Linked DNA regions of Oreochromis niloticus. The protein of the gene in region 3 purifies or fractionates together with the protein of the main gene of each other region. This does not show direct contact. Links are inferred from orthologs where the notes say so. Each region holds a gene or a part of one and is shown on either strand. Other genes may lie near its edges.

The links.
Region 1: the proteins of cep43 (region 3) and cep78 purify together in Homo sapiens (affinity purification with mass spectrometry; 3 studies listed by BioGRID and IntAct, with this or other methods). This does not show direct contact. The link is inferred for Oreochromis niloticus from reciprocal best matches to the Homo sapiens genes CEP43 and CEP78.
Region 2: the proteins of cep43 (region 3) and cep350 purify together in Homo sapiens (affinity purification with mass spectrometry; 6 studies listed by BioGRID and IntAct, counting the BioPlex papers as one, with this or other methods). This does not show direct contact. The link is inferred for Oreochromis niloticus from reciprocal best matches to the Homo sapiens genes CEP43 and CEP350.

What each region holds. Positions count from the first base shown.
Region 1 is NC_031977.2:24,825,484-24,829,236, forward strand, and holds the start of cep78 (centrosomal protein of 78 kDa), read right to left. Parts: upstream 2,832-3,753; 5' UTR 2,679-2,831; exon of another isoform or gene 2,662-2,678; intron 370-2,661; 5' UTR 363-369; coding exon 101-362; intron 4-100; coding exon 1-3. UniProt on the Homo sapiens protein: Centriole wall protein that localizes to mature centrioles and regulates centriole and cilia biogenesis. Involved in centrosome duplication: required for efficient PLK4 centrosomal localization and PLK4-induced overduplication of centrioles.
Region 2 is NC_031986.2:44,022,896-44,026,648, forward strand, and holds the start of cep350 (centrosome-associated protein 350), read left to right. Parts: upstream 1-1,307; 5' UTR 1,308-1,663; intron 1,664-3,276; 5' UTR 3,277-3,351; intron 3,352-3,753. UniProt on the Homo sapiens protein: Plays an essential role in centriole growth by stabilizing a procentriolar seed composed of at least, SASS6 and CPAP. Required for anchoring microtubules to the centrosomes and for the integrity of the microtubule network.
Region 3 is NC_031980.2:25,521,516-25,525,268, forward strand, and holds the start of cep43 (centrosomal protein 43), read left to right. Parts: upstream 1-1,248; 5' UTR 1,249-1,297; coding exon 1,298-1,381; intron 1,382-2,258; coding exon 2,259-2,312; intron 2,313-2,830; coding exon 2,831-2,885; intron 2,886-3,753. Other genes in the region: mboat2b (lysophospholipid acyltransferase 2b), read right to left, coding at 1-74. UniProt on the Homo sapiens protein: Required for anchoring microtubules to the centrosomes. Required for ciliation.

The DNA.
Region 1 (3,753 bases), on a different chromosome or scaffold from region 3:
TATCTGAAACCAATGGTGACATTGTTTTAAGTAAAATCTGAAAATCAACAAGTTTCTAACACAGACAATTAAGATTGTATTAACTGTTTCAATAACTTACCTGCCTCTCCAGAAGCCAAACTAGCTTGGTGTGTGCTACTTATTGCTATGTGGTGCAGGTGTTTGTTAATGGATATAGAGCTGAGAACGGGTGGCCAGTCTGTTAGCTTCAGCTTGTCTCCATTAAAGTCCAGCATCCCTTTGTTGAGGTTCATTTTAACTGCAGGAAGGGGGACAGATTCCTGCCTGGCACAGGCAAACTCATAGTAAGCCATAAAGTCCTGAGCACCCTGCCGCCGAATCTGAGCGCTGTCCTGGACCATCTTTGATCTAGGAATAAAAATATTCAAAATAAGACAAAGAGAACTATGTAAATGGGTAGGAATACTTCAAGATCACAGTAATGAAAAACAGCACACATCACTGCAACTTTACTTTTACACCATATCGTATTTTTCATACGATTGCTTCAATTTAAGTAGAAAATTCTCCTATTTCTGTGTATATGATTACATCTTTGTCTTTTTCCTTAAGCTGGTCCTTTCAAGGGTCAACACAGAGGATCATGTGCGTCCATCTCACCCCATCTCTAGCATCCTGTTCTGTCACACCAACCCTCTGCGTGTCCCACTTTACTACACCAAGAACCTCCTCTGAAGTCTTCCTGTTTCCCTCCTGCCTGGCAGCTTCATATTCAACATCTTTTGTCCAATATTGTCCAAACCACTCTTTAATTTCACCTCCAAACCACTTAACCTGAGCCGTCTTTCTGATATACTTTTCTAATCTTGTCTATCCTGCCCACTCCCAATGAAAAGTTAACATCTTCACCTCTGCTACTTCGAGATCGCCCTCGTCTTCTCCAAACCAAGCATCATTGTAGGTTCACTACCACCTTAGAAACCTTTGCTTTCACTGCTGTTATCCTTCTGTCACAAATCAACACCTGACACTCGTCTCCAACCACTCCACCCTACCTGCACTCGCTTCTTCACCTCTCTCGTGCGCTGTCCTTTGCTCTCGATTGTTGACTGCAGGTATTTAAATATATATACTGTATATAATTAGACATCTGCTGAAAAAGTTCTAATTCTTAAACATTATGTATCACTTGTAAACTGGTACATAAATTATTGTTTTGTTATTAATTATTTGAAAGTTTGAGGATTAATACATCATAACAATGATCCACAGAATATGCAACATTCTTGTCTAAAAGACTCCTCTGGTGTTCAAAACAACTTATATTTAAGATATCTTTTATTTTTATTATTATTAATCTCTGCCTCCCTTCTACAGTGCGTCTTCTGTCCCATCTTCCTCCCATCACCCCCTAGCAGTCGTGGCAATTACTGCCCCTAACTGAGCTTAGTTATATTGCAGGTCTCTGCCTATTAAATGGGACTTTTTTTCTTCCCAAAGTCACCAAGTGCTTGTTCAAAGGGTTTTTTTGATTACTTCAATTTTCTTTATATTATTGCACATCTCTACCTTACAATATAAAGCACCTTAAGGTGACTGTTGCTGTGATTTGTTGCTATAAAAATGACACTAAATTAAAATTGAACTGAATTAATTTACCAAACTTGTTCAACTTTATTTATTAACGTATTGCTATATCATAACATTTACAGACACAGCAATAAGTATATGGGGTGGCCATATGCGAGCCACTGAAAATATTGAGGTGGCACACCAAAAACAGAATTTACAGTTTTATTATGCTCTAGGTTACTTGAAAATATGTCAAAAAAGAGAGAAAGGAAAGAATTATATTCCTACTTAATTTCCTGCTATTAAAGTTTATATCACTGAAAATAGGGTAAATATGAAAACCAAATAAGATTTTGAAATCTATATTAATCACTTTTAGCTGATCAACTGATCGATTAATTGAGTGGAAGTCCCACGATGGCTTTACTGATTCTCAGCAGAGCTGACTAGAAGCAGCTTAAGATTCACTCTCCCAGACTGGAGTTAACTTTAACAGCAAACTTGTTCACGGAATACAAATAAATATTAGATCATCTAAGAGTGTGATCCGTTTCCTGTTTCTATGTTGGCCCTGAGATGCACAGTGATCTGTCCAAGGACTGGCACCAGCTTTTCTGCAACCTTATTACATTATTCCCAACATAGGACAGTCTTTCCAGGGGGAGCACTGGGAGTGCCAGCAAATTTTGGGGGGTAGCCAGTGCCCCCTCTGGGCCCGCAGCAAAAATAAGCTATCAAGCTATTTCGATAGCTTTGTTAGAAACTGATGGCCAGTTGTCACTATTAAGCCAAGCCATAACCAGCCCTTCTTCTGAAGATCATACACAGACCACAAGTTTTTCGTTAACATTTCAACGTTAACCTTACAACAAAGCTAATTGTTGACTTTCACTGATTTTGAATCTTCACCAATTATCTATGCACAGTGTAACCGCTTTCTCTCATTAAATGCAGGGCGCTAAGGTTAAATCAGTGGCGTTAGCTCAGCTCAGCTCCTAGCAACCAAAGACCGTCTATGCTAGCAGTGAATGTCAGCATCAGGGTCTAGAGCTGCTGTTTTTAATTGTGCCTTCATGCATTACACGACTGGATTTAATCAAAATAAAACAATATAATGTACTTTCATACCCAACTAAAGACTATACCGTCGCGGGACTGATGTATGACTCTTCCTCGACGCTGCTTGACAACTTCAGCGGTCTGTTATTGTTGACAACATAAACGACCGCTCAAAAGTGGCGCTGTAGTGCCAGCAAACCCACGCCCACTTCTTCCTCACTGTGCCATTTGCAGCTCTAGCCAGAGATCTCCTGCCATCTATCAAAGAGGAGCGGTAAAACATACCACAGGGAGTCGCAACCAATGACTGTATAGTCATAATCTATTTAGAGAAGTTTGAGTGCATAATAAACTATCCAGTTATAAAACAGATGACGAACCTCTTGAGACGTCTCAAGAAGACTATGATACTTCAACATGTCATTACAAAGAAATCAAAGAAGTTAATCTGCATTCCCCACTGGGCCTAAATTTTAGGAAATAAATGTGTACAATAACCGTTTTGGCTAAGCAAAATTGTGCAAAAATGGATTTGGAGTTAAATGCATTAATAAAGATATCCCTATTCTGGTAAATCAACTACTCCTAGTTGAATGAATGTGGTGTAAAAAGTTTCTTTAATTCTAAGGGGCTGATGCATGGTGCCATTTATAGTTAAACTGTGGATGCTCCCATTCTTAAATCCTATAGTGATTTTTCTACTTAAAGGAGCACACAGCAACTCTCCATATCTTGTTTGGGCGGAACAGCCACAACCTTCGATCACGTCATTCTAAGAAGTGAATTCAGTGAAACAGTCGTCTATGTAATCATTTCCTTTTTGGTCATTTTGTTGACTGCTTTAGCACTACCTTTACGAGATTTTGAAGCATTTTGAAAGATTTCAAGATTTTGAAAGTTGTCCAGGATGAGACAACGAACTTTCTTTCTTGGGGCCATCAATCAGGCGGCGCGTCTCACGTGTAAGAAAGCATTGTCTTTTGTTTGGCAGACTGCAGAGAAAGGCTGCATTGAGCAGTTGTGTTTGTTGAATGTAAGATAAACAGATTTGTGAAATATTTTCATATCTAATCTTGATTAATGGGTGGCATGGCAGAGTTTCTTTACTCAGGAGGATTTGTGAAGTAGCTGGTCTGTTGGTGGTGATCAAATATTGTGGGG
Region 2 (3,753 bases), on a different chromosome or scaffold from region 3:
TCAATCGAGGGGGGGAAAGGGGGGAAAGTGAATTAAATGAGCTGAACGTAAGATAAGTGGGCTGAGGTAACTTCTTGAATGAGTGGAGCATTCAGGGTGACGCCATGCAAGGAGCAGTTTATGTCTGTGTGCAATACACAATCGAGCCGCAAGGGGGCAGTAATCGCACATATGTTGAGCGTTATTCTTCTTGCCGTGCTGTGTGGCTTGACTAGCTGTTCAGGAAGCTTTGAAATATTCATGGGTGTAGCCTATATGCCAAGATTGAAGCCTCAGGGAGTACCTGGTCTTTTCAATACATCTATTGTCACACTTGTGCAAACAGGCGAATCAACACAGTAAAACTGGTTGCTTGAGGTTAGTTTGGCAGGGTGTAATCCGATGTAAATTAAAAAGACTTTCAAAGACTTTTTCTCTTATTTTGTCTGGCAATGAGTAAAAAGTGGTTAACCCAACTTCACTGAAGAGATTTCTGCCCATTCTGCTACAGTAATGCACACAATATTTTACTGCGTTTCAACAAATAGCTAGTTTAAATTTAATCAAAATAAATAAAAACTTTATTTGGCGTGTTGATGTAATGTACATATTAAAAGCAGGAAATAAAGAAAAATACACACATATACCCTCGAAATGTGTTGCCAGCATGCTTTCACTCTGATTAAATTATTAGGTACACATCTTGCCATTTTGGGTACACCTTTGAAAACTTCATGTAGATCTGTGTAGCTACCTGAAACAGTCGCTGGCCCTTTTATTGTGTGCGCAATCTGTCTGATCTATATAAACACATTTTGCTTCATCTGCCTCCCACAGTCTGTCTCCATTCTCTCCAGCTGTCCATTTTGATCACATAATTCTGGAACAAATTAAAAAAAAAAAATCTTTTCTTTTATATGTTGGTGAAGTTCATTGAACTTTTCTTGACGCAATGTCGTCCAGCTCCACATAGGCAAAAATAACTTGAGTTCAGAAGTCTTTTCTGGTTTTAAAGCCCTTCAATTCTCAGATATGTTTTTATTTCATTTTTTAAAGCACTTTTAGAAAATGCATTTCAGATTTCAGTTTTTGTTCGTTATTCTGTGAAATATTCTGGGTTTTTTGTACTGCTGCTTTTTAGACTTTATGATTTAATATAATCAAACTGGTTCAATAAATTAAGTTTCAGATACTTCAAGTATATCAGGTATGTTTCTAATCATTATTTATATAATTAAAATTATTACTGCTGCCATGGGAGCGGAGGTGGGCTTTTACCGGTGTTTCTCGTGTTTGAATTCTCGCGAGATTTCGGTGTCTCGGTTACCTACACGTCCTGGATACTCCAGTTTCACTGTTGAGAAACATCATCATAGTAACCCGGGAAAGGCGACCTCGGAGGCGGGTGGCGACATTTCTTTGAAGGAATCTCACAGCGAAACACGGGAGACGTTGTTCTCTGGACTAACTCTGAGGCGATGGGTGAATGTAGAAAAAAGTTGCTGGATTAGTTGGCAAAACTGCTAACTGACACTGGTTTTCCACATCGTTAGCTGATGCTAACGTTAGCAAACATACAGCTGAACGAAACTGAAGAAGTCGCCCGGAGAACTTTGGATTTTCTTATCATGAGGATATCGACATAAATGCGGACATCTAGACGCACCGGATCGTTTCACTGAAGGTACATATTATTACTCTCCTAAAACTGGAATAGCCAAGTACATTCATGATTTTCTATTCAGCTAGCGTTATTATTCACTCTTTCGAGTTGGCGGCTCCGACTATTCACTGGACCGAAGACATTACGCGGTACCTCATCTTTAAGTCAGACGGTATAATGAGTTACAAACATGATTTTTGAGCGCACGCAGAGTATATTGGACGACTTAACTTAGTTATTGTGAAAAACAATAATTATGAAAAATCCGTAATACCCTGGTTCTAAGTTAACACCCAATACGAGATATAAGATTAGTTTTGTTGTCCCGTTGCTCGAGTGAATAATTCCTGGATACTGTTAGCTATATTCTTTGAGTTTAAAGGCTTTTGAGTTTACTATTACTTCCTGTTTCGCATAGTTATTGTTTAACAGAATCGATAATAACAGGGCTGCTGTTAATACTGACTACAGATAGCGTTTGGATATCTCCTGATGCGCTCAGTCTGAATTCGTGTATTTCGGGCACTCGGCATTTTACAACAAGATGATATTTTTATTTGAAGGTAAGGTAAACTTATTGGCGCCGTATTCGGCGGCATAAATGCAACTCCAGGTGGCTCTAAAGCGACTATAAACACAACTAAGATCGAGTCCTGATGATTTACGCGTAAGTCAATACAGCTCATGTAAAGTTGAAGATGGCCAATTATTTCCTCCTTGCTGAACGACTGAGGTGCTGTTAAGTAACCTTTTGTACACTAGTGACACATGTGGCGTGAAGCTGCATTGCAGCAGTCAATGTCCCTGTGTCAGTGTTTTTGTAATATAGGTTCTTCCCGTGTGCGGCAGCACCGAGCCGCTGCTGCTGAAAGCTGCGTCAATCGGTTAACGAGAAGAAGTTATGCGCCATCTTGGATTTTACACGGCATTAGTGGTGAAAACACCTCCACTCTATCGGTGAAAGTGTTTTTGTCATTAAATTCTCACAGAGTATCCTCCTTTACTCCGTTGATATGTTGCCAAAGAGTTTGATTTCTCTGTTGGAAGTTTGGGGTCTCAATATATTTTCGTTTTCAAACTTTAGAAGGCCCAAATGTCTAAAAGCAGTGTGTTCACTTATACAGGAATACAGGATCATTCCGTTATACAGTAGTATTTTAAACCTGCCCTCTGTAGACTGTCTGGGTTTTACATTTACATTTAATCGGCAGAATAAGTTCACTTTGGTTGAAATCCCCCTGTTCTTTGGGTTAAATAAACTTGTGAAAGAAAAAGAGTGTGTTTCAAAAATGCTGGGGTGTGCAGTTTTTCTAAACTTAGCCAACGTCAGCATATTTCCGTAGTGAATGTGACAGCCCAGCAAAACGACATTTCCTTGTGAATTTGCTAACTTTACAAAAAGTTTAATGTTTCAGAGTTTAGCTGCTCTTTGTGTGGCGTTTTGGATTCGCACAACAGCAAATACAGCGGTCTGTGGTAGAAAGCAGTCTTTTAATAACTTTATAGAGTCGAGTGTATACTATCAGTAATTTGTTTATGGCTCAGAAAACAGAACAGGGAGGGCCACTGAAAAAGAGTGGATTTAGTTTTCTTCTTCTTCTTCTTCTCCTTCTTTTTTCCAATCTCGCCCCCAGGGCTGTGTCACGTGATTGTTATGAGGCAAAGGCATGACTTCTCAAGAATTCCTCATGACTCAACAAGTGTTAAATGTTAGTACAAAACACCCTTAAGTGTCTCACTGACTAGACTTGACTCTCGCAGATCTGTGCTGTAATTATCTGAATACATTGGCAATCGTTAATGCTGTAGTGGAAGACTTTTTCCTACTCAGGACAAAACAGCTAACAGACTTGATATATGCAGTGCCTACCATTAAAGCAGACATGTGACTAGCATTACAGGTGTTTTGAGTAAACATCACATTTTTGAGTTGTGCTTACCTTTTAGGAATGTGAGGCTGTAGAACCCGTTTTAAATGGCAGGGTAGCAGTGTTATGCTGTTGCTGTGTGACAAATTGCATACCTTTGCCAAGCCATGACTACTTTGCATTTAAACTTGTTAATATGTTGGGTATGAACTGTAGTGCCTCGTGTTTTTAAATTATTATTTG
Region 3 (3,753 bases):
GTGCAGGCCGTGGATGGAGCTCCGTCGTCGGCCATAGCTCCGATGTTAGGCCGGCCGTGCTGCTTCTGATACATGCAGCTGCGCAGAGACGGCGGATGCTCCGTGATCCACCGGCGGTCCGTGCCCGTGCGTCTGCGCGTGCTTCTCTGCTTCCTGCTCCTCCTCCTCTTCCCCTCCGTCTGCCTCCTCCTCCTCCTGCTTTCTCTTCAGCTCAGTCTCAGAAACATCTTTTGGCATCTGGCTGAAGAACACACACACAAACAGCTCACCTCATCTGAAGGCAAAGTCTTTGTTTCATCGTGTGAGTATGGAAGGACAAAACTGACAAAACACTAAATCATTAACTAATAAATTAATTCATTTTTTTAAGTCTGTCGGTCGCACTCAAAACTGAGGCACTGACGGTGTTTTACTGTATGTGACAGCCATTCCTGATTTTATCAGAATCAGAATACTTTATTAATCCCTAGGGAAATTATGTGGGTTACAGTTATAGAATAATCCTTTAATTGTCCCACAAGTTGCGCCAGTACAGTAGCATTGACAAAAACAAACTAGACCATTTATCAATACAATATGTTAAGATATGAAGAATAGCCCAATATATACAATATATACAAATAATAAATATTCAGGGTTGACAGATGTGATTATAAATAAATATCAAGAAATTGACAGAAACATTACAGAGTAAGAAAGAGTGTGTGCAAAAAGGATGTAACTATTGTAGTGTTTAGTGTGTATTAGATGGACGAGTTGTACAGGGAGATGGCCACAGGCATTTTGGTAATCTCTGGTAACATTTTTGTATGCAGTATTCCGTGCAGTACAGTGCAGTATTTTTACTCACTGGGGATGTTATGAGTCTTCTATTTTATTTTTCGGCCCCTGTGAAGCTTTTTGTAGCAGAGGTGGAACGACTGCACAGTTATGGATCTGATGTGAAGACAGACTCGGTCTGGAGATACAATAAATACAAGGTCACAAACTAGCTCAGAAAGTTAGAAATCACACAAACGCTCAAATGTAAAAATAAAATAAAATAAAAGTGGAAATAAAATGAAAAACGTGACTCTGAATCCATCTCACGGACCGTGAAGTAAACTAAGGCGTTAACGCAGTTTGTTAAACAGGTAAATTATCCAGCTCCAACTCAGCCTGCAAGCCAGCAGATGGCATTCAGATCGGCTAAAGAGCAACAGAAGAAGAAAGGGCGGAAGTTGCGTCAGATTGTTTTGGTGTGTTGTCCTGGCAGCAGCGGTTAGCTACATTAGCATCTTTAGATTCAGACAGAAACATGTCAGCAGCCGAGGACGACACGGAGCTGCGGGACCTGCTGATCCAGAACCTTGAGAACAGCGGAGCTCTGAACAAGCTGAAGGTGAAAGGTCACGTTTAACGTGAGGCGCCCTGACGGCGGGATAGGCTACAGCTACCCGCAGCTAACAGGCAGCTAACGGCTACTAACCGGCTACTCAGAGACTGTTTTAGGTTTATTTTATTTAACCTGAGAGGAGAGATGAAGTTCTTATTGAGTGTAGAGGCTCAGCAGCTGTGTGAGCTCTGTTGCTGCTGGTGTCGATGAAGCAGGATCTGACCTTTCGAAAATGGAAGTACAGTTTAAACATCCGCGAGAGTAGAGGAGACATTTTATTACTAATAGCGTGTAACTGCGGCTCAGAGTAGAACCTCAAAGCTCACAGCCAAGAAGAAGAAACCTCACAGAACAAATAAAAATGGTTTTCCTTTTTTATTTCCTTTCACTCCCTGTTTTTGTCATGTGACTCGACAGCGTCAGGTGAATGGAGCTGAGAAAGACTCGCCTCCAAACCTGAAACCACTCTGATTTATATCTGATCAGTTTGTGACTTATATCTAAACTAAGCGCTGTGTGGATGGTGGAGGTCTAGTTTCGTGCGTGCTAACTTCAGCACAGGTGGGACCTGTTAGCCTAAAATCTGATCCAGGAGCAAGGAAGATTCGGGCCGAGTGCTCGTATAAAAATAATGTGAAATACAGCAAATGAATGAAACGCTGTTAGTCCTGCGACACGCTGGTGACCCGTCCAGGTGTGTCCCGCCTCGGGGAGAGGCTCCATCCCCCACGACCCTGAATAGAATGAGTGGAAGAAAACTGATGGATGGAAATGAAATAATATTTAGGAAACTCTTTTAGTTTGAAATGTCTGTCATGAATGACATGTATGTATTTACTGATTGGTTTCAATAACTGCCTGTATCGATGACATGTTCCTGCAGGCGGAGATGAGAGCGGCGGTGTTCCTGGCAATGGAGGAGCAGGACAAACTGGAGGTGAGTGATTCACACAGTGTTGATCAGTCAGTGCTGTCCGTCATTGTCCAAGATAAGGACAATGCTGGACAATACCTCCCACTCACTCTGTGAATGGTGGCCAGTCACAACAAGAGCATGAGATTACACGTAATGCAGCACTGAACAACCCCTCCATCTAATGCACAGCACACACTGAAATATCTGCACATAAAAAGGGCAGTGTTAACCATATCTATTTAATTTGTGTAGCATACTGAATTATTTATAATAAGAGCTATTTTGCTATATTTTAACTTTAGTTTAATCAGTTCCTGTTTTTAGTGTCTCGGATCGACTGTGACCACATCATTAATAAAGTATTCAAATTCAGGAACACGTGTGACAGCAGGTTCATGGTGTGTGTAGATTAAAATCAATCGTTCACTCTGGAAAAGTGAACAATTGTGGTGGGAGGAGTCAGGAAGCTGGGAGGAGTCAATGATGGTGTGACTGACCGCTTTGACCTGATCTGAGCTCTTGCTGATGTTTCTCCTCAGAATAAAAGTCCGCTGGTCAACGAGAACCTGACGAAATGTCTCAACACCAAAGACGGTGAGTTCCTCAACTTCCTCTTCCTGCCTGCAGCTGTGAGCAGGTTAACAGCGATGAAGGTCATACTGCTTCATGCTTGCTTCGTGGCTGTTAGTTTACAGTTTTACTAAATTCAGTCCAACAGAAAGACTCATCAGTGAGAGAGTTCAGAAAGGTTTAAATAATTTCAAACATGCTCTAAAGAATCCCTCACTGATGGGAGCACCCGCAAGCACCGCGGCGCAGCATCCGCAGGTTCACGATACGTTTCCTTCTTATCCTGATGTCATCGATCAGCTTCCAGACATCTGATTGGTCAGCTGGTGTGCGATTACAAACATAACCTGTTCTGAAGCAGGCCAGCCTGCAGTATGTGTTACCATGGCAATGAGTAGGAGCTGTGACAGCAAGGGTTAAGCCTGCAGTAACCTCGGTCAGCAGGCGTTGCAGCTCCTGTGTGCCCCACAGGGGGGCGCTGTGGCTTCAGCTGTCAGCTCGTCTCCTCTCAGACCACTGCAGGGAGCAGAGTTGACGAGCAGGAGTTCACCTGGATTTCAGGTGTTCATTGTGACGTTTACATGGTGTCGGTATTTTTATAAGCTGTGCTCCATCAGCAGGAATCCACTAATCAGAGCTCACTCCGACTCACACGCTGAGACTCTGGGTACATTATGTGACTTCCTGTTGGTATGTGATTTTCTGTCCTCTATTCAGCAGTGATGACAACGATGATGATGAAGATCAGAGCGTTGATCTCTTTGGCCCTCGAGGGTGTCACACAAACTTCACAAACACACAGCAGCAGGACGCCACACACATGCACGCACACACACTCGTTTAAACCACTGGGATCGAACTGGAGGCCTGCAGCTGAGTCCTGGTTGGTCTG